2 linked regions of the Kluyveromyces lactis genome follow. The protein of the gene in region 1 purifies or fractionates together with the protein of each later gene. This does not show direct contact. Links are inferred from orthologs where the notes say so. Each region holds a gene or a part of one and is shown in the gene's direction. Other genes may lie near its edges.

Evidence for each region. The genes of interacting proteins can lie anywhere in the genome.
Region 2: the proteins of MNN10 (region 1) and MNN9 purify together in Saccharomyces cerevisiae (affinity purification with mass spectrometry; 4 studies listed by BioGRID, with this or other methods). This does not show direct contact. The link is inferred for Kluyveromyces lactis from reciprocal best matches to the Saccharomyces cerevisiae genes MNN10 and MNN9.

Annotation. Positions count from the first base shown.
Region 1 is NC_006039.1:1,342,412-1,345,504, forward strand, and holds MNN10 (alpha-1,6-mannosyltransferase), read left to right. Parts: upstream 1-1,435; coding exon 1,436-2,431; downstream 2,432-3,093. Other genes in the region: PEX5 (Pex5p), read left to right, coding at 1-859; RNA-dependent ATPase DBP3, read right to left, coding at 2,790-3,093. UniProt on the Saccharomyces cerevisiae protein: Required for polarized growth and efficient budding. The M-Pol II complex possesses alpha-1,6-mannosyltransferase activity and is probably involved in the elongation of the mannan backbone of N-linked glycans on cell wall and periplasmic proteins.
Region 2 is NC_006041.1:1,137,711-1,140,978, reverse strand, and holds MNN9 (mannosyltransferase complex subunit MNN9), read left to right. Parts: upstream 1-1,518; coding exon 1,519-2,697; downstream 2,698-3,268. Other genes in the region: RAI1 (decapping nuclease), read left to right, coding at 1-570; BRR6 (Brr6p), read right to left, coding at 606-989; alkaline phosphatase PHO8, read right to left, coding at 3,022-3,268. UniProt on the Saccharomyces cerevisiae protein: The M-Pol I and M-Pol II complexes possess alpha-1,6-mannosyltransferase activity and are probably involved in the elongation of the mannan backbone of N-linked glycans on cell wall and periplasmic proteins.

The DNA of each region.
Region 1 (3,093 bases):
TGAAATTGGATGTATCCTAATGGAAAATGGGGCGAAGCTAAGTGAAGCTGCATTGGCTTTCGAAGCTGCTGTGCAAGAAGACCCCGCGCATGTAGATGCATGGTTAAAGCTTGGATTGGTTCAAACACAAAACGAAAAAGAAATGAATGGTATTAGTGCGCTTGAGCAATGTTTAAGCCTAGACCCCACTAATCAGCAGGCACTCATGACAATTTCTATCAGTTATATTAATGAGGGATATGATCTGACCGCTTTCAGCATGCTCAACAGATGGCTAGATAGTAAGTACCCTGAGTTAACACGCTCCCCTACCATTGATGAGGCCAATATCGATAGGTTTAATTTGAGCAAACAAGTAATCACGAAGTATTTGCAAGTAGCTAACGCCTTGCCTCAGGTGGATCCAGAAGTTCAGCTCGGTTTGGGAACGCTTTTCTATGCCAATGAAGAGTTTGGTAAGACAATTGACTGTTTCCGCACCGCATTAGAAGTCAATCCAAATGACGAATTAATGTGGAACCGTTTGGGAGCCTCTTTGGCCAATTCAAACCGTAGCGAAGAAGCTATCCAGGCATACCACAAGGCCCTTGCCTTGAAACCGTCTTTTGTGAGAGCTCGTTATAACTTGGCCATTTCGTCAATGAATATTGGCTGTTATAAAGAGGCTGCAGAGTCTCTGCTCTCTGCTCTATCTATGCATGAAGTAGAGAATGTTCCAATTACTGGATCAGTCGTGCAATCTAACAATATTCTGGAGACCTTAAAGCGTTCCTTTGTCGCCATGGATAGGAGAGATTTGCTAGAAAAAGTCATGCCGGGCATGGATCTACAGCAATTTCGTAATGAGTTTAACTTCTGATAATGCAACGCAGCGAATAGTCTTTGTTTGATAGGACCATCCTCATATTCATAATGAATTGATCTTTCACCAAGTTTTGCGGAAAAATACATTCGCATAATTAATTACAAGCATTTAGTCGCATATATGTAGTCGTCATTCGATTGTATTCCTCAACGAATAGTGCAGAGGTCCATGCTCACGATCAGTGTACCAGTCAAAGTGTTATGGTAAGCTGTCGCGGTATCTAGAGACAGATTGCGATTCTATCATTTCTACCGGGTAACATTTTCTTGTTTTGGATTTCTTCATTTTAAAGCGAGTTGCAAGAATTTGAAGTAATGTCAACAGAGTAAAAATATATGTTCTCTATAGATAAACTCCAGAGTAGTACAAAACAATCATTTACTGGTTGTTGTTTGTGTATCTAAGTGATTTCGTTAGTACTTCAATACGTTAAGGAAATATAGTGTGACTGCTTGGAGCAGAAAATACTATTGATCGCGTTTTGCTGTTTTTCTGAGGCATCCAACTTGATCCGATTTATTGTATATTGTACGTGAACGAGAGACCAGTCAGAAAATCTAGATAGGATCAATGACTTCGAGTACACCTTATGAGTACTCATACGAATTGGATGAGAAAAAGCCATTAAATTTGGATTCCAATTACGTGTCGTCATTTTCAAAATATAAGAGGTACGTCCTATGGCTGTTTTCCATACTTTTCATATTATTTTGGTTAAGTGATTTCTCACTTGTTGCAGCTGAACCCAAGGTGGTGATAATTGTTGCTGTCAATAGTGGTGGCGGTGGTGTTTTAAAGTGGAAATCGGAACAAGAATGGGCTATCGAGCGTATTTCTATCGAAAACAAACGTGCATACGCCAAAAGACATGGTTACGGATTGGTCATTAAAGATCAGGCACTATCAAAGAGATACTCCCATGAATACAGAGAGGGCTGGCAAAAGGTTGATATAATGAAACAGACTATGAGGGAATTCCCCAATGCTGAATGGTTTTGGTGGTTAGACGTGGAAACTCTTATCATGGAGCCCCAACTTTCTTTGGAAGAACATATCTTCGATAGACTAGATGAAATCGCAAACAAGACTTTGGAAGCTTTCAATCCTTTGCATATAGCTACCGATGTGGCATATGTTGACTATTCACAACCGTCAGATATGTTAATTACACAGGACTGTGGTGGTTTTAATTTGGGTTCTTTCCTAATGAGAAACACTGAATGGACTGAGCTTCTTCTCGATATATGGTGGGACCCAGTCGGATATGAACAAAAACATATGGTCTGGGAACATCGTGAACAAGACGCTTTAGAAGCATTGTATGCTAACGAACCTTGGATTAGAGAGAAGATCGCATTTCTACCACTAAGGCAGATCAATGCTTTCCCACCAGGTGCTTGTGCAGATTTCAAGTATGACTTGCGCTATTTCTATAACGAAAAGGAACATGACTTCGTTGTCAATATGGCTGGGTGTAACTTTGGTAGAGACTGCTGGGGTGAAATGCGCCAATACACTCAACTGATGCAAACTCTTCACCGTAGATGGTACTCGATGTTCTTTTAGATTCTCAATTTCCTTTTGTTTATCACTTCAGTTGTATTTCAAAAATTATGCACTGCTCCATTGTACTAATACTGTAAAATAAAAGGCGAAGGTACAAGAAGATCTTCGATAGAGTATCCCCTTTTATACTTTAATGCTTTCCCTTTCAACACCATTCTTCGTTGCCTTTCAAAGTCATTGTTTGAATATCGCATATTTAATACGTCTTTAATTTCAATTTTTATCGTGAACATTCATTGTACAAACTTCGATGCAAGAGTAATTGTAAACTTTTATTTACTCTGTATTGAATGAACTACTGTACATAATGGGGGTGATTGCTAAAAAATACAAGAATTGTCTTTATAACGGATTTAAATTAATCAAATGTAATCTTTTTTGGTTTCTTTGATAGGTCCACATCCTTGAAGAATGCACCGTACGCACTATGTTCCTTCTTCTTTGTGTGAGTACCGAACTTCTTGAGCTCCTCAGGAACAGGTTGACCAGCACCATTTAAGACATTAACAAGGGCACCTGCAAGATGCTTTTCTTGCTCAGTGAACAATGTGTGTGCGGTACCGTATTGACCAGCACGACCGGTTCTACCAATTCTGTGAACGTAATCTTCTACTGTTAGAGGGAAAGTCAAATTGATAACGGTTTTCACGTTTGGGATGTCT
Region 2 (3,268 bases), on another chromosome or scaffold:
GGGGACCAATTCATCTCAATGGTTAGAACAGGAATAGGTAAATGTAAGATATTGATCGGTGCAGAAGTGGACTGTATTTTTGATTTTAAAGAGGATTCAGATGACAACCTGAAGCATTACGCAGAGTTGAAATGTACCACAATGGTCAATACCGTTTCCGATGCGCATAAATTCGAACGTAAGTTGTTTAAAACCTGGTTACAGTGTTTCCTAGTAGGAATAAACAGAATTATATATGGGTTTAGAGATGACAATTTCATGCTCAAAACTGTAGAGGAGTTCACTACATCTGAGGTACCGCTAATATTGAAGAACAACAACCCACAGATGCAAACTGTGTGTGTAGATGCCATAAAATGGTATGGTGCCTTCACAGAGTGGTTATTGACAAGTATTCCAAGACCAGAAGACGATATTGACACAATTAAAGCCTATAAACTCATCTTTGAGAACAATCACCTAAAACTCACGGAAATTGAGTCTGACGACGAAGAATACAAGCAGCTGGTGGAAGGAGAAGAGATACTATCAAATTCGTTCAAACAATGGAGAAAAGATCTTCGCAAGTAACTTCTTTATACGTGATATATATGTACACAGAGAAACTACTGAAGTAGTTTACTAGAAATTGATATAAGCAATACAAATAGCATCAGTACTATTATTGTCTTGAAGGCAAGTGCCTGTATAAACGAATTTAACGTGTGTGCAAGTGTCTTGGCATATAAATTGGCCATCTGATGAACGCTGGGGTGCGAGTCCAGCTGCGCACAATGCCACCATTCATCACATTTCCCAGCTAAAGCCGGCCGTATTCCCTCACTACATCTATTCTCAACATAAGATCGTTTGCACTGAGAGATTTTCTTCATATCCACCCATTGCTGTTCCAATAACTGCCATTGCACATCTTTATGCACAGTCCAACAGAAATATCCCACTATTACCACAAGTAAACCCTGGAATACCAATTTATTCACTGAGTGCATGAGAAGAGGCTATGACAAGCTCTTAACCCAAGGTCTTAGCACAGGTCTTGGTTCATTTGGTGCTCTATTCAATACACCCGGCCAAGCAATGTGCGTCCCAAGATATTAATCAGTGATTCGAAAGGTTGCTCTTCGGCAATTACTTAAGAAAAAAAAAACCACGTGACTTGTGCTTTCAAATCGGCGAAATCGAATCCTTAAGACCAAATTCACACTGAAAGAAACAAAATGGGACACAGAAACATATGAGAAACAAGATAGAATAGTATAGTTACCCTCTGCCGAAAATTCTCAACTTCCGAATAGCTTAAAACAAGAAAAGCCGTAATTTCAATATCAATTTGGCGAGTTTACTAGAAGTTCAAGAAGGATAAACACGGTCGGATTGGCGTCTTGCTCTGTTGAATATAGACACTTTCGCTGTCTAATCTTTGGGAGAATTAATCAAGGAGGAAATTGAGCCGATAATTGAGTGCTATAGATCATAGTTTTGGTTGATTAATTTATAAACATAAACATAAACATAAAGATGGCTTCCATGTCTTTGATCGCATACCGTGTGAGGAAATCGCCGATTCTTTTCATCGTGGTACCTATATTTGTGCTATTTTGCGTGTTTCAATTAGTTTTTTCCAGTGGGAATAACGTACTAGGATTGAGCGATGATATTATGAACCATCAATGGGCAGATCAGTCCGAGAAGACATTTTATTTCCCATATACAAAGAAGTACAAGATGCCAAAATATTCATACAAGAAAGTTTCCAGTTGGTTGTTCAATGATAAAGTTGACGATTTGATTCCTGAAGGTCACATTGCCCATTACGATTTGAACAAGTTGAAATCTACCAGCAATGCCTTAGTAAACAAGGAAAGAGTATTGATTTTGACTCCAATGCAGACTTTCCATCAACAGTACTGGAATAATTTGTTGAGTTTGACTTACCCAAGAGCATTGATTGAGCTTGGATTTATTATTCCAAGAACTGCGTCTGGAGATGCTGCTTTACAGAAATTAGAATCTGCAGTAAGAGAGGTTCAAACAGGTAAACAGGATAAAAGATTTGCCAAGATAACCATCTTGAGACAAGCGTCTCAGTCTTTCGACAGACTAGGAGAAAAGGATAGACACGCACTAGAAGTACAAAAGGAAAGACGTGCTGCTATGGCATTGGCTAGGAACGAATTGCTGTTCTCTACCATTGGACCGCACACTTCATGGATTCTATGGTTGGATGCAGATATCGTTGAAACTCCAGTCACCGTCATTCAAGACCTAACGAGCCATAACAAACCGGTTCTTGCCGCTAATGTGTATCAAAAATTCTATGACAAAGATCAAAAGAAGGAAAGTATTAGACCTTACGATTTCAATAATTGGGCTGAATCCGAAATCGGTTTGAAATTGGCCCAACAACTTGGAGATAACGAGATTATCGTGGAGGGGTACTCTGAAATTGCGACTTATAGACCATTGATGGCCCATTTCTACGACGCAAACGGTGCCACCAACTCATTAATGGAACTTGACGGTGTCGGAGGTGGATGTACTTTAGTGAAAGCTGAAGTCCACAGAGATGGTGCCATGTTCACTAACTTCCCATTCTACCACTTGATAGAGACAGAAGCATTTGCTAAGATGGCAAAAAGATTGGGATATTCTGTGTTCGGTCTACCTAACTACTTGGTATACCATATTGAAGAATAAGCGCTATGAGTTTTCAGGGAGAACATAGCATCAAACGTACTGCGTAGAACGAATCCTCAATTAAATTAAACGGGAAAAGGTACCGTCTTGATCTTTAATTGGTTTTACTCTTTATGTACTTAGACCTATTATGTAAAATACTATTAATATTTCTGCGTACTATTATTATAAGCGAAATAACACCTTCAATTACCACGTTTAGTTTTGAAACAAAGAGCAGGAGATATAGTGCAATATCTATGGGGACAGATCGCATACGATTATGCAATGAAACGGAATGCAATTGTTTTGTCTTTTCCAACCTTTATAAATGTTAACAGGGAGTTAGATTTCTATTTCTTTCAAGAATGAAGGAATGTATTCAAAGTAGTTTTCCTCTGAAGCGGAAGATACAAATTCCTGAGTATGAGTGGTGTTTTTGATCATCTCTGTGACTTTCTTCAAATCAAGGCCCAAATAATTTCTCATGAAATGACCAATTTCAATATTCTCATGGTTACCACCAAGTTTATCCAAAATCTTAGACTTCAACCCGTCCTTGTTGGAGTATGCATATATATTAACATCGACT